3 linked regions of the Lonchura striata genome follow. The protein of the gene in region 1 interacts with the protein of each later gene in a pairwise test. Links are inferred from orthologs where the notes say so. Each region holds a gene or a part of one and is shown on either strand. Other genes may lie near its edges.

What was found.
Region 2: the proteins of C1H5orf22 (region 1) and WBP11 interact in binary tests that used the Homo sapiens proteins (3 or more experiments, as listed by UniProt). The two-hybrid records come from large-scale screens. The link is inferred for Lonchura striata from reciprocal best matches to the Homo sapiens genes C5orf22 and WBP11.
Region 3: the proteins of C1H5orf22 (region 1) and ELOF1 interact in binary tests that used the Homo sapiens proteins (3 or more experiments, as listed by UniProt). The two-hybrid records come from large-scale screens. The link is inferred for Lonchura striata from reciprocal best matches to the Homo sapiens genes C5orf22 and ELOF1.

What each region holds. Positions count from the first base shown.
Region 1 is NC_134603.1:97,753,109-97,760,678, forward strand, and holds the start of C1H5orf22 (UPF0489 protein C5orf22 homolog), read right to left. Parts: upstream 3,076-7,570; 5' UTR 3,054-3,075; coding exon 2,949-3,053; intron 533-2,948; coding exon 387-532; intron 1-386. Other genes in the region: DROSHA (ribonuclease 3), read left to right, coding at 5,906-6,756.
Region 2 is NC_134607.1:56,791,270-56,799,334, reverse strand, and holds the start of WBP11 (WW domain-binding protein 11), read right to left. Parts: upstream 3,091-8,065; 5' UTR 3,018-3,090; intron 2,008-3,017; 5' UTR 1,958-2,007; coding exon 1,894-1,957; intron 1,084-1,893; coding exon 1,052-1,083; intron 427-1,051; coding exon 333-426; intron 1-332. Other genes in the region: SMCO3 (single-pass membrane and coiled-coil domain-containing protein 3), read right to left, coding at 6,853-7,530. UniProt on the Homo sapiens protein: Activates pre-mRNA splicing. May inhibit PP1 phosphatase activity.
Region 3 is NC_134623.1:1,323,855-1,329,615, reverse strand, and holds ELOF1 (transcription elongation factor 1 homolog), read right to left. Parts: upstream 1,593-5,761; 5' UTR 1,359-1,592; coding exon 1,243-1,358; intron 995-1,242; coding exon 924-994; intron 836-923; coding exon 771-835; 3' UTR 541-770; downstream 1-540. UniProt on the Homo sapiens protein: Factor involved in transcription-coupled nucleotide excision repair (TC-NER), a mechanism that rapidly removes RNA polymerase II-blocking lesions from the transcribed strand of active genes.

The sequences.
Region 1 (7,570 bases):
CACTCAATAAAGAGAACAAAATATTGACTATGGCTAAGGTGATTCAAGTACACCAAATGCATCAGCTTGTAATTACAGCTTTTCAGACAAAGCATCCAGAGTGCTTTCCTGTTACCCAGAAGAAACATTTGGCTTAATACCATCATACACTATTGAGTCAATACACAAAGCAACGTCATGCATCTTAAATTGCTTGATACGCAATGTAACTTTTGCCATTAAAAAATAAAGTTTCAGCAAAAGTGAAAAGACAGAAGATGCAACTTGAATGTGACTTATATCACTTTTGTTCATCCCTCCTAAGCAGTCATAGCAATAATCACTGTGAATCAAAGGCAGCAAGAATTAGACTTAAAGTCTACTCTGATGCAGTACCCAGGACTTGCCTAAAAAGAGCTTCTTTGTCAAATACTGTGTCTGCAGGCATATTCACAGGAATGAGAAGGTCTGGATGGGAATCAAGATGAACAAAACTGATGTTACTGGCAGGAAGATGCTTTGAACCAATGGCACGATAGATGAAAGGCAGCACCTAAAGCAACATGAATAAAAACATTTTAATGATAGTCAGTGAGCTGAAAAATGCAACAGCTTTAGCAGCAAAACCACCAGTACCACTTTTATTCCTTTAGAATTTTATTAGAGGGAGGATGAGACAGAAAACAATACAGAGGGAAAATAACTCCAGTGGCAAGACAACTCGTGAACAGTAATCATTATAAGCCCAAGTGCTCCAGATGAGAAACTGCTGAAAAGTCACAGCCTTACACCCTTTTTCCTTCTTTATAGGAAGTCTTGTCTGCAGTAGCTCTTCTCACTAGCCATTCAACTCTATTCCTAGATGTTTGAGGGGTTTTTTTTCCATTTACACCGAAGACTCAGGAATGCCTTTCCTCTTCTGCAGATCATTGGCCTTGTACTTCTTTTCCCATGCTATAAAGCTTTCTCACCATGCACTGGTGCTATGGAGATAAAAACAGTTTGCTCCTTATGTTTTATAAGTTAAATGATATAGACTGAAAACTGACGCCACCATGATTTAAACTTCAGCTGATCATTAAACCTATTCCTCTTGGAGAATTAATTCCTAATCCTTCCATTACTGCTTGCAATAGAGACTATCTTTCTTACCTGTCCAACTTTATTCTCTGCTGAAGTTCTTCACTCAGATAGGTGAAAAACAGGAGATGAAGCAACTCACCAATTTACAGGAATAGCAAACCACTGAACTGCAATAATATGGGGTGGTAAAAATGAGAAAACTGATGGCTGTTTTCTCTTGGAGCTCACAGAGGCTCTTCCACAGTTAGAGAGAATCAACTGCCTTGGCTATCAGAGCAAATCCAACAAGGATTGTGAATGACAGCACTATTATACAGGGAATGTGAAGACTGTAAGAAGCAACAAAAAATATATGTGACCTCTGCATTACAAAAGCAACTGAGCTACTTTTTTGGCATAAAACTGATTAAGATGATAAACCCTGCATACTGCATAGGCATAACCGTAAAACATATGTATATTATTGCAACAATAGATAAAACAAGATTAAAACCAACATGGGTTTCCTGTTGCATGGCTTTTACTTTTTTGTAACAAAGAAGCAAGTTGGCCTACTAAATAACATACAGTATTTTCAATTAAAATTGAAGCTTCACCTCAGGTAAGTGCAACTACTGGTTGCAAGAGACAGGAAAGACTAACCTCTCTAACCTTGCAAATTCTCCTGATTTGGACTAAGAACAAAATTTCCTTCATGACAGCTGTTATTATTAATCAGTGCATGATGCAGCTACTGACAACTTGCTCTGGAGGAACATCACTATCAGCAAGGCTGATATCAAAACTTCTGTGAAGTTCTTCCACTTCGGGACAAAAAGCCATTATGTTTTATGCAAGATAGACCAATTAATCCACACTCCTGTGCTGAAAATGTTTTAAATTAAATATATAGTATTAATATAACTTTAAGCTGACTAAAACCAGAAATATAGAGACTAAAGTAAAGAAGGATCATTAAGAGGTATTATCTCAGAATTCCTACCACACTGACACTCTAAGTCCTTGGCTACTTAGAGCTGTAAAAATCAGCTGTCACAGCATCCTGTATTCAGCGAGTCTTTACAAAAATGAACGGTATTAAACTACTAACAAATTTGTAACATTATTGTCTTTAAAACACTTTACTACACTAACATTTTCTCTTTGCAAATAACCAAGTAAAGAATCTGTTATTTTAGGATTAAAACCTCAGTTTATGCTATTATAAAAAACCCCATGAGAAACCAGAAACAGCAATTCTAAAGCAATTCCTTCTTCACTCCCTTTTTCAATGACTCCACAAAAAAAAAGGCAAAGCTCCAGATTTTTAACATTCCTCATCAAGTGGGAGTCAATCTACTAGATGGGATAGGATTATATTTACTTATACTCTGCTGACATGTCATACACTGGGTAGGGTTGAGTTTCCAAGCACCCCACTAATAGCCAGCAAATTAAAACAGCAGTGTAATGTAGGTATTATCTCCTTTAAACCACAGCAATTGGTGTGGTTCAATTACAAAAGAAGAAAAAGCAGTCAGCAATAATTGCTTTTAAAAATGCCAAAATGCGATCATGGCAATAAGTCAATCGGGAAGGAAAATCGGGCCACCTGGGCGCTGAAGTTCATTGATGTTTCAGGGCGGAAGGGAAGGCGGCTTTGGGGTTTGTGTGCGGCTGCGGAGGGGAGGGCCGCTCCCCGGGAAGCGCCCGGAGAAGCCGCACACGTACGGGAAAGCGTCTCCCGGGAGGCCGCCGGTGACCGCACCGGGCACCTCTCTTCGCTTCCTCCTGCCCCTCTGAGCATCCGCGCCGCGGAGAAACACCAGCACACACGCAGGCAGGAACAAAGGAAACCCTCCCCATGGCAGTCCCCATCCCCCGGCAGCCCAGCGCGGGGCACTCACGTCCTGGTGGTCCTCCACCACCCAGACGGGCAGGGCCGGGTACCGCCGCCGGGAGGCCCCGCGGGGCCGGGCGGCATCGCCGAGCCGCGGCTCCGCTCCGCTCATGCCGCCGCTCCCCTCGGGCGGGCGGCGCTTCCGCCCGCAGCGCCTCCCATCGCTTTCCTGTTCCGGAGCCGGGCGCTGCGGGCGGCGCTGGGCTCGGCGGCGGCGAGGGCGCCAGGTGGGCTCGGCGTGCCGGGCGGGCTCGGCGTGCCGGGCTGCCCGCGGGGCGGCGGCGGGGCCGCCTCGGGGCGCTCCGCGCTGCTCGTGGAGCTCCGCAGGGGTCGCGGGGTCGGGAGCGCGGCGGCTCCGCGGGGCTGGCGGGGCCGGGCTGGCGCGGGCAGCGGGGCCCGGCAGGGGCGGCTCGGCGGCTCCGTGCCCCCGGGCCGGCGGGAGGCGCCGGTGGGGCGAGGCCGGTGGTACTGGATGGGTCAGGTCGGAAGGGACCACAGTGGGTTGCCTGGTCCAGTCTTCCTGCTCCTGCAGGGTCATCCCAGAGCACATGGCACAGGATTGCGTCCGGACAGTTCCTGGGTATCTCCAGTGAGGGACACGCCGCAGCCTCTCTGGAATCCGTTCCCGCACAGTTAAAGAAGTTCTTCCTCATGTTCCGGTGGAACTTCCTGTGCATCGGCTTCTGTCCGTTCACTCTCGTGCCTGTTGCACGGCACTAGAAGAGCCTGAATCCAGCCTTTTTGATACCCTCTCTTAGGTACTTACAGGCATTGATGATGTCCCCTCTCAGTGCTCTCTTCTCGATGTGTCAGTGCCCTGTTGCTCTCAGCAGTGCATCTGCAGGGAGAGATGAGTTTATTCAGTGTTTTTTAGGGGACCAGTGCTGCTTTAGAATGCAATGGCTCCTATTGGTGCAATAAAATTCCTCTTTAGGTGACAGGGGAAGGGGAGTTTGCTCTTTTTTGTGTTTTTGAAGTTTAATGTGACTTGCGTTTGCAGCAGAGGGAGCTTTAAAATAGTTTGGGCATGTAAAATAGTTCCGTGTCTTTTTGAATCTTTTTTTCCAATTGTGATTCTGGGCTTGCTGAAGGACTAAAATTAAAGTAATAGATCAAGAGCAGTTCTCTGGCATTGGGAAGGTCTGTGAGCTGATAAACAAGACTGTTTTTTTGAATGCTGTGACATGTTAGAAAGAAACGCACCTAAAGATAAGGCACTGTGGTACAGCCTGTTTAAATAACATGTGTATGGGAGCATTAGCAAAGTCTAAAACAGTCTTCTGTTACAAGCCTGAGTTGTGTAAGAGCACAGCAGGAGAACCAAAGCAAAGTTAATTCAGCATCTGATGGATTATAGTCAGTAATATCAAAAGGGTATGCTATTGCCAGACAAAATGGATGTTGACTTTTTTTTTTCTCCCCTGGTTGTGACTTTTTTTTTTTTTTTTTTTTTTGAGAGCCCTTAGAATATTAGAGGGTACTGAGCAGGTGCAGGCTGACTGGAAGGAACACGTGGCTTTATACCATCATGGCTGCTATCTCCTCATAGTGTGGGAATCACACTCACATTGGCACTTGATTGTTCTGGAGAGGGAATACTACCACCAATTCCAGTGGCTTCCACTAAGCACTGCATGTGTAAGGAGGGTCCTCTTGATTCCTCATCTTTGCTATCCGTCCTTTGCCCCTGTGTTTCGTTTCCTTTCTCCCTCCAGTTCACCAGAAGCTGTCTGCTTTCTCTCAGCAAGTGCTGCAACTTTTACTACAGTGTCACCGGAATGTGGCTGAGAGCAGTGCTCTGAGCAGTCCAGGTTGGCCATGTTGCACTATAGCAGGTGGGAGAATATTCTGTGCATGTGTATTCTTCAGCATCAGCAAAGCCTCAGAGAAAGGGAGGCTTTGTTTCTTTTTTCTGGTGATCTTTCCAATTGTGTGTGTCTCCCCTTTCTTTCTCACTTCCCCTTACAGAAAACAGGATTTGACTTCTGGAGGTGCTTAGATCATTTTTTTCACCTCTCCTTCCGTTCCAGCCATAAATTTTCTTAAGTGTTTTTTCTCCTTTTTTCAGGTTTTGAAACTTACCATTGCAATTAAAAAATCAATTTAAACTTTAATGAAGCACAGTGCTTTCATTTATAAATGTTAATGCCTTAAATACATGCCTTGTTTTGAGCAACACTTAAACCTACTTTAAGCAGTGATGGTTTCTCAAGGGTAACAGGGTCAAGAAGGCAGTTGAGGGATTTATTTGGAATCATTTATTTCAGTGAAAATTAAGGAATAGCACAGTCTGCATGATTTTTTTTTTCATAACCTGCAAGATGTGTAACCTGTTTTTCCACAAAAATATACGTACCTCACTTAAAAGAGTTTGAAGGGTCTGTTGAATTCAGTCTTTAGTACACTGGGGACTCAATAGCAAGCTAGTATTTAATTTAAAGTTGACATGATTTGTTTGGCCAGGAGGCATCCAAAGATTTGTTAGTCAAGTCATTCTGCCCAAAATTTAGAATTGTGTTCTAGAGAGAACTTCTTACACAACTTTGGATAACCACTGCAGTTATAATAATGAGTGATTTCTTTGGTGTGGGGTATCCAAAGGTTTTATATCAAAGTGTCAAAGTCCTAGTGGAGGTGCTTGTATCCTTGACCTGCCATCATTACAATAATTTGTTGAAATTACATTGCCCTAACTCGTAAAGCATGATCCAGCTTGCGTTCTGGCTTGAAGACAGTAAGTGCTTTCATGGATTAGAGGCTTGAAGGAATCTAAAGGGGCATAAATGGCCTGCACTAAATGTCTGAGGAGCACAAAGCTCCCAGTGAAAGTGGATATCATTTATTGCTTCTGTTAAAGGAAACTGCAGTGTCAGCACTTCAGGAGTAGCTCCTGCAGATGCATTGAAGACATCTTACAAAAACTGTGTGACACTGCATTTTTATTTTCCTCAATAAAGGTGAGCCATGTCTTTCCATTCTGGGCGAGGATGTCCCCGTGGCCAGGGGGGACCAGGAGCAAGGACTTCAACACAGACCTACCGCCCTCAGAACCTCCGGCAGCTCCACCCACAGCAGCCCTCCGTGCAGTACCAGTATGAGCAGCAAACTGCCCCTCCAACAACCTACTCCAACCCTCCAGCCACCGGTTACATGCCTCCCAGGCCAGACTTTGTGCCCTATCCTCCTCCAGTGCCCCCTTCCACACAAAATCCCATCAGCCAGTGTCCCATGAGGCCACCATTTCCAAACCACCAGATGAGGCAGAGCTTCCCAGTGCCTCCATGTTTCCCACCCACTCCTCCACCAGTGCCAAACCCTAGCAACACTCCCGTGCCAGGAGCACCTGCTGGACAAAGCACCTTTCCTTACATGATGCCTCCCCCCACGGTACCACACCCTCCCCCGCCGCCAGTCATGCCGCAGCAAGTCAGCTACCAGCCCGTGTACTCGGCAGGCTACTCGCAGCAGTCGTTCCCGCCGCCCAGCTTCAGCAGCTACCAGCACAGCTCCGGCTCCTTCCCGAGCAGCGCTGCCGGCAGCAGCGCCAGCAGCAGCCACTTCAGGCACACGGGGCAGTACCAGGGAGAGAAGTCCCAAAGCGACCGGCGCTCCCCTGACAGGAGCAAGCACTACGATGAGCACCGGCACCGCGAGCACGGGCACATTCACGGCGACAGGCATCGCTCCGCCAACCACGGGGATCGTCGGGATCGGGGCCGCAGTCCGGATAGGAGGAGGCAGGAAAGCAGTCGGCACCGGACGGATTATGAGAGAGGAAGGATATCGCCTCATCACAGAAGTTATGAGCGAAACAGGTAACAGTTACCTGCCTGCAGGGGGATAGATGTCATCATGGCCCATAATGTGTGTTTGCATCAATGTTCTTCCCTTACCCTTGTTTGTCCCTCTAGCTTGGGAAGTAGCCAGTAATCAGGTCTCATGGAAAAAAATACTGTTTAGACACCTTTCAGGTGCACTGCTTTGCCTCACAGTTGTGAGCTGGCAGACTTGTTGCTCTTGTCCATGGAAATAGTTTTTCAAACAACAGTTTCTTTGCATCCCACTGAGTGGATTGTTGAGTAGTGCTCAACATATTTACCTTAGAAATGAATGCACACGTGGCAGGAAAATAGAGTTGTCACTGTAAGACTATAGAAAGTTGAGTCTTACAATTAAGCCCTAGCACTTCAAATTTCAAGATTTGGGTGCCGGGTGTTGCTTTCTTTCAGTAAACCTTGGATTTACAGGGAATACTGACTTGGTGAAGTTTATAGTCTGATAGGGGCCCATAGCTAATATATCGGTTTCTTTGCCCCACGTTGGGCTCCTCTCTCGGGGTTCCCCTGTCAGGGGGAAAACCCTTCTGGAGCTGTTCTGTGTCAGGAAAAGGAGATGCACAGGACTTTTTTGATCTTCAGCTTCTTGTTTATTGTTACCTTATCAAAAGTTTTGCACGCCATCTATACCAGACTCTGCACGCTGGAAAAGCACCGCAAAAATGGCCAACAATCTCTTGTTACAAGGTTTTTTAAGACTAAACTGTCCAATTAAGAAATGACACTTAGATTATTTTACCTTTTAACCAATAACTGATCCTTTGAAGCCCGCAATGAGGACTCCTGCCCGATT
Region 2 (8,065 bases), on another chromosome or scaffold:
CACAACTGTGATAAATTAAACTATTTCAAAACAAGTTCCAATCCCTGTTTTCAGGATGTCTTCAGCCTTATGACAATCCCCTCCTTGAATTCTACATTAGCAGCACTCACACACACTACTCGTTTTTCTGATCAATCACCTTCTTGGAAAAAAATACTCTTTGATAGCACCACAACACCTCAAATCATAATCAATCCTCAGATATTCACAGAATCCCCACTTCTAACAGGAAAAGATTGCTCTATTTCAGTCTCCCCCATCAGTAGTTAAAACTACACTGTGCATCTACATGAACAACTGCCTAAGTCCAACACCTGGTACCTCTCACTCACCCATCTCATCCAACTTTTCCATGTCCCGGATAATCTGCTTTGGATCTTTCATCTTCAGTACAGCTGCTCGGACCATCATCCGTTGCTTTTTGTTCTAAGACCAGAGATCAAGCAGATAGAAAAGTTTCACAGTAGAAAGACACAAAACATCTGTTACCACTTTCTCAGTATTTCCAGTCTGAGGAAAAAAAAATCACACCGCAGAATGCCCTGAAAACGTTCACCATGGCACAAATCAGCAGAAAATGTAGCTGAAACTTCTGGTAATTTTAATTCCATTATCTTGGTAATTGCAAATGCTGCTATCATTCCTTCACTCCAACTAAGACACATGCAATCAACACAGTAACAACTTACAAAATACATTAGAACACACTAAGAAGTGTGTGACTCTTGGATGCTTTATTTATTTGGATTTTTTTTTTTTTTTTTTTGGTATGTTGCTTGCTTCTTTGTTTTCTTGTTTTTGGGTTCTTTAATAATTAAGTACTTCCAGCAATGTTTCAAAAACAATTACAAGTTAAAGAACAGCTGGGAATATGTTTATTCCAAACAAGACTTCTATGTGCTTTTGAACTATATGTCTGGATAGTATTTCCAAAGTCAGTCTTAGAATATCAACCAAAATATCCACAGTCTATTCATGGCCCTTTACAATCACAAAGACGATACGTAGTATAGGAAAAGCCAACTACATGTTTCCTAATCTCTTTATTTACCTTCTTTAGTTCCCTTTTCCGAGCTTCCTTCCCTAGAGGAGAAAAGAAAAAGAAAGTAACAACTTGAACGACAAAATAAAATTAATGAAGAACCTTCCTTCATCAAGACTAGGGCTGTTTCTCAACAGTTCACTCCTTTTACAAAGACTTACTGCAATTCAGGTTTCCAGTGAAAAAGAAATATAGCATGAAATAGATTTCTGTTTCTCATCTTTTATACGGAAAAAAAAAAGAGATACTGCAGTCTTCATGTCTCCAGAAGCAAGGTTTTTTTCCATACAAAAAAGAACAATAGGCAACTGAAGTCATAGTGATAGTTGCAATCATGAAAAGATTGCTGCACAGAAGCTGAAACAGAGTCATTAGACAATACACTTTAAAAAAATGTAGGCTTTGAGAATGCCTCTGAAATAAAGCATATCCACTGTGGGAGTCCAGATTTTCTTTATTCACTGAGCATTGATAACACCTGGCATGTTACCAAAAGTAGGAAAAAACCCAGTAAGACAACTCCCCCATCTAACCAGAGCACCTGCAAAATTTGACATGTTCCTCAAATTCCTGCCTGGGACAGATTAACGCTGTCCCAGGAAACAGCCTGCAGTTTATCCAACAGCCAAGTACAAAGGCCTTCCAACACTGATAACCAGTGGAAAACCAAGAGATAAATACTTAAGAGAAGCAAGAGCATGAAAGCAAGCAGCCTTCCCAGATAAAACTGAGACAATATTTTTCAGAGAAACAGTTCTGATCCACAAGTGAGGATTCTATCCTCAGAGAAAGCTTTTTATTTGCTCTAGGCATTCCCCATTCCCACCTGCTTAGCTTTTATGTATACTTACGGGCCTGATCCGTGGGATTCATAAACTTCCCACTCTTGGTGGATGATGTAGATCTCCGCCCCATTTTGATATGTTTTCTTCTGCCTCAAAAAATGAAACTTAACAGAGAGGAACCTGGAAAAGATGACATGGTTTCAGGTCCTACACACTGGCAGCTTGAGGATGCTTGTTTGTCTTCTTTCTATCAGCAAGTTACTCCCTCAAAGAGCCCAAATACCTTTCAGGCCCTCAAACCCGACTATGAGCTCAGCACCCATATCAAAAGTGCCCTACTGCAATAAGTACTACTATTTAACTCAGTACCTACTTACTACTACTTTAGTAGATTCTAATTTTAAACTAATTGATGAGTTTGTTATTATTCACATTACAATTCAAACCAAAAAGCTTTGTGTTTAGACTATGCAGGGGTGCAGGGCAGGGAGAAACTAACATTATATTTTTCTAAGACTGTATCAGAGTTCAGCTTCCCATTCATTCTTGTAAGCGCTCTCCAGTTTTCACCTTTCTCTGTTTCAAATGTTTCCCCATAGATCTCCTTCCTTCCTCAGACTTCTAACTGCCTCTGATATCTCTCCCCAGCACCCACTGTACAGCAAGTGTAGGATTATTCTGCAAAAAATTATTTCCAGTCGTTAGATATTTCTCCGGCTTACAGATGACTACATAAATGTCCAAACTACAGCCAGGGATGTTTTTTCTCTCCCTCCCCCTCCAAACCTGCAAAAAGACTGGGTTGGGTTTGGTTTTTTTTCTTTTGCAAGCCACTATCGCTTCCTTAGGTGGGAAGCTCACCAAACACAGGTAGGAGTTACACTTACATCCCGTATTTCCCAGTTTTCTGATATGTAAAGGCTAAAGGGAAAGAGAACAAACTTCCGAAACCTACATTTCACATCTTCTAAGGACCCAGACTAAAGAGTTTCAACGTAACAAGTTAAAGACCGAAGGTGAAAAAAAGAATATACACTCAAGCACTAAATTAATTATTCTTTTGGCCACAGGGGAACGGGGCAGAAATCCCCCCCTCCTACTCCCGCCCGATAGTAGGAGGAAGAAAACGAGCTAGCGCGAACTCCTCGCCTCTCTTCCCTCGCAGCCCAGCACCGCCGCGCCCCTCTCACCGCTGCGCCCGGCCGGGCCCGGCTCCGGCTGCCCGCGGCTGCCGCGGCCTCGCTCAGCCCCGCGCCCGCCGCCGCGGCCCCGCCGCCATCTTGCAGCGGCACGGAGTGGCGGCGCGGAGCCGCGCGCCGGAAGCGGCGGCCGCAGCTCGATGGTTCCGCCGCAGCTCGATGGTTCCGCCGCAGCTCGATGGTTCCGCCGCCCCTCGCGCCCCGCGGAGGCTCCAACTCTATGGTTGGGCCTGGAGAGGGGCGGGACGGCGGGAACGGGCCGGGGCAGGGACAGAGACAGGGGCTGAGACAGAGACGGAGGCAGCGGTAGCGATGGAGTTAGGGAGCATCGCCCGGCCGGCCTGGCGGGCTCTGGACGCCTCTGGGCGCACGCGGTGTGAGGCGTGTGCTGGAATAGAGCTGCGAAGGCGGCCAGCGCGGCCCTGCTCCCCGCGCCCTCCAGGAGAGATCCCACAAAGTGCCCTGAAAGAAGGCAGGGCCGAGGGACGCGGGGGAAGCCTCTGTCCATGGGGAATAAGTGGGAAGCGCTGCGGGAGCAGGGGCTGCCCACAGCCTGAGGCCTGTCCCGTGGTTTGTTGTAGGCTTGGCCACGGGCAGCGCTGCTCCCCTGTCAGCGGGGCTGGGATCCCTCTGTACAAAGCGAACAAGAGATCATTTTATGCTGTCGGGCACCAGAGAATCTATTCTGTTGTTTGCCTCTTCCTACAGCCCCCACTGTGGTGAACTGGTGAGGCTGGTCAACACCTGGTGGGAGCTGTTTTGTGTCATTGTCCAAAGCAGAATTTCCAGTAAACGTCCACAGCACATTAAGAACTTGGATGAAGATGCACAAAACATCAATAGCAATAAATTATGGGTGTAGGCTTAAAAAACTAGCATGTTGGAAAGGAGATGCAGGAAGGAAATTTTTCTCTGCACAGGTGGCATCTGAGAGCAGAGGTGGTCAGATGCTTGGGCAGGATTTCTAGACTCTCTGCTCCTGGTGCACATAACATTCAACACAATGTTGTCATAGTTTTTCAAGTAATGGAGACTCTCTTGGCTAATTGGTAAGGATCATTGCACGATGGGTAAAAGACTATAAGCTACACATCACATTGAAGCCAACATTTAGTCACTAGCTGCACAAAGTCAAGGAGTATCCTCAGAGCCAAGTTTTCAGGAGCTCTTAGTGCCTACAGAGTCTTGCTAACCACATGATCATCCATGCACAGCATGGTCATCCGTGCACAGCATGGTCATCCCGACCTTGTGCCTCTTTGCATGTTCTTTTTGTATTATTCTTGCCACCAGAGAGAACATTCAGCCAGGCAGATTTTGGTTGCAACTGTACTGTTTTTCTTTATAGGTTTGGAAGCAGCTCACACTGGTTTGAAGTTTTTTTGAGGCTGTTCTTATTTGGAACACATATATGACAGTTTTATCCTTAATCCTTTGTCCAGAACAACAGCTTGAATAAAGGCAGAATGCTCAAGAGGATGTGATGGAAAGCTGTGGCCACACACATCCCTGTCAGGTGCCATGTCACTGTGGAGGGGGATGGCTGAGTCTTTGAGGGTTAGCTGCACCTCACAAGGCTTGGGGGTTTCTGTCCTGGCAATCCTGGCCTCTGGGGATAGTGGTGCTGCCTCAGCCCTGACTGCTTTCTCACAGCAGTGTCTGCTGATTTGGAGGACAATAGTCCTCTCACGTTTTCACTTGTTACTTCTGTCACACTGAGAGGCAGCTTGAAGGAGTCTGGAGGGGAAATATCAACAGACTGGTTATGGCATCTTTGGAGCACCAAACATAAGACTGGCCAGAGCATTAGAGAGAGCAGGAATTAAATCTGTTGTGAGGAAATCCGCTTTCCTTTAAGTCCACCAGGAACAAGGATATACTTAGAGGTGAGTAGCAGTTTTTTACCTCTGTGTTCCTCATTGCATACCTCACTTCCCCTGACACTGCTTAGCATTTGCACTCAAGAACATGTGGGCAAATTGCTTGAAAAAATATGACAGATTTGTTTTTATTTGGCTCCGCTATTTTTATACAGCAGTGATTGGCCATCTTTCAAAGAGCTGGTTTTAATTCCTAGTTTGGAGTGTACACTTGCACATAGAAATCAGGAGCCAGGAACTCCTACCTCTCCAACACAGAGATATTGCTGTTCTACTGACTGACAGTCTCTTGTCTCTACAGAAGTACCTCTTAACTTAATGCCATTTGTGTCAGGAGACAAGAGATGTTACATTTTGGAGAAGTGATGCCTCAGGTCACCACGTCATCCACCACCATATCTCGTGTAGGCATGGCAGTGCTTTTTGCCACCACTAAAGTGCCTTTCCTGACTCACGTAGCCCAGTCTGCAGCTGGTCCCAGTTTCTCTGGGCTCTGGCACCCATCTATGCTTCTGAACCCTGGGCTTTCTCCATGATGACTTGACAGAGCTGTTGGGTACCAGCAGTTTCATTGCCATTTAGTGGCTTTTGTGCATAAAAGGAAAGAGGAGTCAGAAAATATTGAAGTGAGAACAGACATGGAGGAGAAGTAAAACCCAACAAAACAAACAAACCAACCCCCCCAAACCCCAGAGTGGAAGAACTGTGAATCTCACCCATTTCTTTATTTCATAGGCACCATCTAGTTGTTAATAAATTGAGATTGCTAATATTGAATATTAGAAACATGTATGAATTTGGACATGGTTTTAGTATGGGAGAAACAGGTACTAAAAAAAGGAACCTATGCATAACTAGATTGGTCTATTGTGGATTTTAAAAAAATGAATTGTATGTATAATAAAGCTTTCAATACTTCTTTATTATTTGGTTTAAGATTGTTTTTCAGATAAAAAAATAAAAGTACAGAGAAGTCTTCCAATACTCATGCACATTTTTATTAATTCTTAAATTACCTTTTTTTTCTAAGATCAAGAGAAAACAATCCACAGCATATCAGAGCAAAAATCTGGAAAATAAGGACAGTTGGTAGCATATTGTGAAATGCAGAATCTGAGCACATTCTTGGCAGTCCCAGATTGGTGGGATCAGGTAAGGCACTTGAAAATAACTTTAGTTAAATAGGGCTGCAATCTACAGGCACTTATACATGTGTATAATTCCACTTCAATCAACAGACGAGCAACTTTGCACAGAAATTTTTACATGTAGGTTGACAGGAGCAGAGCATTACAAGTATGAGAGGTTGTTCACACCCAGAGCACAGCAGCTGGTTTCTCTCAGTTATGGAGCAAGGTTGTGTCTGTTTGCATGTAGGCCCAGGCTTCTCTTACCTGCCAATCTACTGGGATTATAGTTTATTTAAAGAAGATCTCTGGTTGGCTTCTTAGGAGGGCAGGAAATAGCAGTTAAATATGCTTCAGCTAGTCCTTGTAATTTAATTCAGTTTATCAGATTTAGCACTAAACCACACTAAGACTTTAGCAACCACAGATGTCTTCATAAAGCCTCCAGATGCTAGCATGAATTGCCTTGTTGAAATTGTTTTCTCCCTTTCTGTTGTCATCTTTGATACAGAAACACACCTCACCACTACCAGTCCAGCAGTCTGTATTCTTGTCTCTAGTATGAATTACAGTTTGTACTAAAGATGCTTCCCAGAAAATAAGCTTAAGGAAAGGTGCAAAGCATTTTAAACATTGCCCCCACAAAACATCTGTAAATCAGTTCTCTACTAATATATTTCAATGCCAGTTTCCTGAACTATCACTTTTCTTCTTCTGCCACAAATAAGAAAATAAAAAGCCATCAGTAGTTAATTTGTCCTAATGAATCAAAAAGGTTTCTGCAGGCATAAGCTGCTGCAGCAGAAGACAGAACTCCATTTACTGAACTTGCTGTCTCACCAAAGAAGTCACTTCATGTATGGCACGCTGGTACTTTTCTGAGGCTGCTTTAAACTCAGCCAGGTGCTTCTCGTAGCTTCTCACAGCTGTCAGAAGCTGACTCCTCTCCACAGCTCCCAGGATGGCATGGAGAATCATCTCAAGGCCAAGCCCAATAATGGTAATACTAACTCCCCCAAGAACAGATGCCCCAATCTGTGCAAGGAGACCAATGAGCTTGCTCACAGTGAGAGTTAAATGATTGGAGCCAAGAAGTTTGATAGCTACCATTGCAGCTGTTGAAGTTGCTTCTCCAAAAATAATGGAAAAAACTCTCTGGGCTATTGCAATTTTCTCCAGCTCAGGCTCTTTGATATCATATAGTTTCTGGTACAGCACTGGCTCGAGCTTGTCCTTCATGTCACTATCAATCTTCTGCACCTGATGCTGAATCTCATTCATCACTTGAATGATAATCTCACAGTTTTCCTTGACTGTACTGCTCTCTTGCATCTCAATGGGGGTAATAGTACAGCTCAGGTGTTCATTCAGCACTCCAACCAGTTCGTTTGTTGCATGGAAATTTGTAGACATACTGTCAAGCAATTCCTGATGCAGATGGACCAGTTCTTGCTTTCTTTTGGGATTATCTGGGTAAAGGAGGTCACTCAATGCCATTCTTCAGAAATAGGCTATTTCAAGAGAGAAAATAAATTTCTTATCTGTTTAACACCCATAACCATAGCCCTTAAAGAGCAGTGAAATCTCCTTTGTCTCTGATTAAAATTGATACTGAACCTTGGAAACTGAAGATGTTAGAACCTGAACTAGTTCACTAAAAAATGGAACAATCTCATCTAATCAGCAAAATTAAAGATGTGGCTTAAAGATTAAAGAGCTGTTCCAGGCACTCTTTTGTATCAGTCTATTTTTTCCATTTAGTGTAATCCAATTTTTCAGCAACCATGATGATTGGTGGATATGGTTTGTGTCACAATAAGAATATTTTATGCCAGTATAACCTTTTTCTTCTGACATTCAAGAGAAAATGATACTATATAAGCATTCTGTGCTTGTACTAAGAAGTTTACCTTCTGAATTCATAATGAATAATAAAATTGTCTATAATAACCCATATCACCTTACATACATCTCTCATTGTATTTTGTTCCCTGATATTTACTTCTTCATAAACTGCATGCCAATATAGAGA
Region 3 (5,761 bases), on another chromosome or scaffold:
GAAACTGTCCCCGGGATCAGCTCTGGGATCGATCGCAGGGGAACCGACCCCGGGGCTGGCACCGGGGGGACCGGCCCCGGGGGAAACCGGCCCTGGAATCCACCCCAGAATCGATCTCAGGGGAAAACGGCCCCAGGATCGGCCCTGGGGGAAACCAGCCCCGGGATTGCCCCAGGGGAAACCGGCCCCGGGATTAATCCCAGGGGAAACCGGCCCCGGGATCGGCCCCGCGATGGCTCCCGGGGTGGGGGGGCAGCACTCGGCACCGGCCCCGGTGGGACAATCCCGGGACCGGCCCCGGGCGGGGCCAGGGCTGGGCTGGCCCCGGGTTCAGTCCCGGGATCACCCCCGGGTTTGGTCCCCGGTTCGGCCCCGGGGGGTTCGGGCCCCGCCACGTGTGAAGCCACCGAGGCACAATAAAAGCCACACGCAGAGGTGACAGCGCCGTGGGACCGTGCTGGGGGACACCGGGGGACACCGGGGGACACCGGGGGGACACCGGGGCGGCGGGGATGGGGTGGACAATGGGGGACAAAGGGACAGGGAGGACCAGGGCCACCACTCGGGGCATTTATTCCGGGGCCGCTGTCCCCAAACGCGTCGCCCCCCGCCCCGGTGTCCCCACGGGGACGAGGACAAGTGCCGGACGCGGGGGGAGGGGGGGATGCCACCCCCGCACCGGCTCCGGGGCTGTCACCGGGCCCGGGGGGGGGTCCCTGACCCCGCCGGGAGTTTGGGGAGCGGGCGGTGTCCCCGCCGCCCCCCCGGGGTCACTGGTTGGCGGCTTCGCAGGCGTCGATCCAGTCACTGTAAACGTCCACGGGCTCCGACAGGTCTGGCGGCGCCGTTAAGGCTCCAACACCGACTCGGGGGGTCCCGGAGGGGTCCCGGGGGTGTCCCGAGGGGGGTCCCGGTAAGGATACAGGTGATGGGGGTCTGGAACTCCTCCAGGCACACGGTGCACGAGATCACCCCGGTGTTCCGGGCGCGGTCCCTGCGAGGCACGGGACGGGCGTGACCCCTCCGGGCTCCGTCCCGATCCCCCCCGCCACACTCCCGGTGTCCCCTCGCCCGGTGTCCCCTCCGCGGTACCGGCACCCCCGCCCGGTGTCCTCGTCCATGTCTCCGCTCTCCGCTTCCCCCCCGGGTTTCTCCGTCGTTCTTCCCGCGCTGCCGCCCATCCCCGTGTCCCGTCCCCGGTGCCCCCCGGTGTCCCCCCGGTGCCCGGTGTCCCGCGCTCACATCTTGACGTCGCAGGACTTCTCGTGGTTGCAGAAGGGACACGTGAACTGCGTCTCCAGCGTCCCCGTCATCTTCTTCTTGGGCGGCGGCTTTCGCTTCGACTTGCGGCGGCCCATGGCGGCCGCACCGGAGCCCAGAACCGGGAACGGCCTCGGGAAGGGGAACCACACCGGGATCGGCCCCGGGAGCCGGCTCGGAGTGGCCCCGACCCGCTGCGGGACGTGCCGAGGACGGCTGGACCCTCCCCCGGTGCCCCCCGGTGCCCCCCGGTCCCTCCCGGTCCTCACGCCGCGCTCCCGCCGCGATCCCGGAAGTGCCGCCCCTCCGCCCTCAGCCAATCAGCGGCGGGAACGGCGCGCTCTTCCCCACGTGACCCGAAAACGCCCCGCTCATTGGTTGATAAGAACAGCGCCCCAGCCAATCACCAGCGGCGAACCGAGAGACTCTGTCCCGCCCACTCAGTGAGTGATGGACGCGCATTTCAGCCAATCAACGGGTGGGAGGCGTGGCCAGCCCTGCCGGACCCCGCCCATCGCGGTTTTGGGGTGAATCGCGGTGGTTTCGGGTCCGGCGGCGCCCTTCAAAGCCTTTATTGGCGGCACGGGGCAACCGGGCGGGGCCGGCGGGCAGTGTCCGGTCCCCGGTGTCCCCAAGGGGTCAGAGTTGACGGGATGTCCCCGAAGGCAGCGGTGCCGGTGTCCCCCGGGGGGACTCGGCGGTCTCGGGGCGTCCCCAGGGAGGGGTCCCGGTGTTCCCGATGTCCCCAGGGAACGGATCCCGGTGTCCCCGCGTCCCGCTGTCCTGGTGTCCCCACTGTCCCCGCTGTCCAGATGTCCCGCTCTCCGGGTGTCCCGCTCTCCCGGTGTCTCGCTGTCCCCGCTCTCCGCTGTCCCGGTGTCCTGCTGTCCCGGTGTCCCGCTCTCCCGGTGTCCCCGTGCCCCGCTCTCCGCTCTCCCGCTGTCCCCGCTCTCCGCTGTCCCGGTGTCCCGCTCTCCCGGTGTCCCCCTGCCCCGCTCTCCCGCTCTCCCGCTGTCCCGGTGCCCCGCTGTCCCGCCGTCCCCGGTCCCGGTCACGGGTGGCGCGGCGGCAGCGTGACGCGGTGCAGGACGCGCCCGGTGGCCTCCAGGAAGGTGACGGTGGCGGCGGCGGGCTCCAGGCGCACGTGGGCGAAGCCGCCGGGGCTGGCGGCGCTCCCGTAGAAGAACCGGAGGGCGCCGGGGGGCACCGAGCCCGCGTGGGGCTGCGAGTCCTCCATGAAGTTGCCGGCGCCGCTCAGGACGTAGCCCACGCCCCCCTCCTCCAGGTACTGCGGGGAGACACCGGGGGGTCTGGGGCTCCCCGAGCACCCTTGGGTGTCCCCGAGCACCTTTGGGTGTCCCTGCACAGCTTTGGTGTCCCTGAACAGCGTTGGGTGTCCCTGAACAGTTTTGGTGTCCCTGCACCCCCGGCCATCCCTCACCTGGCACATCTGGCTGTGCCTCACCTGGCACACCTGGCACCCAACCATCCCTCCCCTGGCACCCCTGGCACCCCCAGCCCTCCCTCCCCTGACACCCCTGGCACCCCCGGCCCTCCCTCCCCTGTCACCCTGGTACCCTGGCACCCCCGGCCCTCCCTCCCCTGGCACCCCTGGCACCCTGGCACCCGGCCCTCGCACCCCTGGCACCCCTGGCACCCTGGTACCCCCTGTCACCCGGCCCTCGCACCCCTGGCACCCCTGGCACCCTGGTACCCCCTGTCACCCGGCCCTCGCACCCCTGGCACCCCCAGCCATCCCTTCCCTGGCACCCTGGCACCCCATCACCCGGCCCTCTCACCCCTGGCACCCCTGGCACCCTGGCACCCCATCACCCGGCCCTCGCATCCCTGGCACCCCTGGCACCCCGGCACCCCATCACCCGGCCCTCCCTCCGCTGGCACCCTGGCACCCCATCACCCGGCCCTCGCACCCCTGGCACCCCATCACCCGGCCCTCGCACCCCTGGCACCCCTGGCACCCGGCCCTCGCACCCCTGGCACCCCCAGCCATCCCTTCCCTGGCACCCTGGCACCCCATCACCCGGCCCTCTCACCCCTGGCACCCCTGGCACCCCGGCACCCCATCACCCGGCCCTCCCTCCCCTGGCACCCTGGCACCCCATCACCCGGCCCTCGCACCCCTGGCACCCCTGGCACCCCATCACCCGGCCCTCGCACCCCTGGCACCCCTGTCACCCCGGCACCCCGTCACCCTGCGGTGCCTCACCTGCAGGTTGTGGTCGTGCCCGCACAGGTAGGCGCTGACGCGGTGGCGCCGCAGCAGCGGGCGCAGCAGGCGCAGCAGGCAGGGCGTGGGGCCGTGCTTGCCCACGGACCAGAGCGGGTAGTGCCCGGCCACCAGCACGAAGCGCTCGGCGGCCGCCGCCTCCAGCTGCGCCCGCAGCCAGCGGAGCTGCGCCGCCGCCGCCGCCGCGTCCCGCGGCCCCGCCGGGCCCCGCCCGAAATCGTCGCCGCGGCCGCAGAGCAGAACCGAGTCGAGCACCAGCAGCCGCGCCGAGGCGTTGGAGCCGGGCAGGTGCAGCCGCAGGCTGTAGTAGGGGTGGGGGAAGTGCCTGCGGGGTTGGGGACATTTGGGGACACTTGGGGACAGTGTGGGGACACTTGGGGACAGTGTGGAGACAATGTGGGGACAGCCCAGTACAAGGCACAGGCTGTAGTAGGGGTGGGGAAAGTGCCTATGGGGGGTTGGGGACATTTGGGGACACCTGGGGACAGTGTGGGGACAGCCCGGCACAAGGCACAGGCTGTAGTAGGGGTGGGGGAAGTGCCTATGGGGGGTTGGGGACATTTGGGGACATTTGGGGACAGTGTGGGGACACCTGGGGACACCTCAGGATACCAGGGGACATTTGGGCACAGCCTGGCACAAGGCACAGGTGGACAAAGTGCCTGCGGGGTTGGGGACATTTGGGGGACACCTGGGGACAGTGTGGGGACACTTGGGGACACCTCGGGATACCAGGGGACAGTGTGGGGACAGCCCGGCACAAGGCACAGGCTGTAGTAGGGGTGGGGGAAGTGCCTGCGGGGTTTGGGGACATTTGGGGACAATGTGGGGGACACCTGGGGACAGCCCGGCACAAGGCACAGGTGGGGGAAATGCCTGCGGGGGTTGGGGACATTTGGGGACACTTGGGGACAGTGTGGGGACAGCCCGGCACAAGGCACAGGCTGTAGTAGGGGTGGGGGAAGTGCCTGCGGGGTTGGGGACATTTGGGGGACACCTGGGGACAGTGTGGGGACACCTGGGGACACCTCAGGATACCAGGGGACAGTGTGGGGACAGCCCGGCACAAGGCACAGGTGGGGGAAGTGCCTGCGGGGGTTTGGGGACATTTGGGCACACCTGGGGACAGTGTGGGGACACCTGGGGACACCTCGGGATACCAGGGGACATTTGGGGACAGCCCGGCACAAGGCACAGGCTGTAGTAGGGGTGGGGGAAGCGCCTACGGGGCTTGGGGACATTTGGGGACACTTGGGGACAGTGTGGGGACACCTGGGGACAGCCCAGCACTGGCACAGGGCAGGGGAAAGGTCTGTAGGACACGGGGACATCGTGAGGACAAGAGGGGACACGGTGGGGGATGCACCAAGGGGGCTTGGGGACAGCCTGGGGACACCCTCAGGGGCTTGGGGACAGTCTGGGGACAGTCTGAGGGGGCTTGGGGACAGCCTGGGGACACCCTCAGGGGCTTGGGGACAGCCTGGGGACAGTCTGAGGGGGCCTGGGGACAGTCTGAGGGGCTTGGGGACAGCCTGAGGGGCTTGGGGACAATCTGGGGACACGCCAGCACATGGCACAGGGTGTGGTAGGGCTGGGGACAGAGCCCGCGGGACGTGAGGTCACTTGGGGACATGCGGGGACACGCGGGGACACGCGGGGACACGCGGGGACATGTGGGGACACGCGGGGACATGTGGGGACATGTGGGGACATGTGGGGACATGCCCAGCAGGGCTGGGGACACCCCACAGGGGCTTAGGGACAGGCTGGGGACACCGTGGGGACTTGGGGACACCATGAGGACACCCTGAGGGGACCTGGGGACACCATGGGGACACCTGGGGACAGGGATGGAGGGGGGACACGGTGGGGACACCATGAGAGGACTCAGGGACACGGTGGGGACACCCCGAGGGGACTTGGGGACAACCCAGCAGCAGACACAGGGCATGGGAAGTGCCGGTGGGACATGGGGACATGAGAGGAGGCCCCGAGGGGACAGCAGGGGACACCAGGGGACCTTCGGGGACCCTTGGAGACACCCGGGGACCCTTGGGGACGCTCGGGGACAGCGGGGGATCCTCAGGGACCCTCGGGGACAGTGGGGGACCCTCAGGGATGCTCGGGGACCCTCAGGGACCCTTGGGGACCCCAGGGACACCGGGGGACCCTTGGGGACTCTCGGAGACCCTTGGGGACGCTGGGGGACCCTCGGGGATGTTCGGGGACCCTCAGGGACCCTCGAGGACCCTT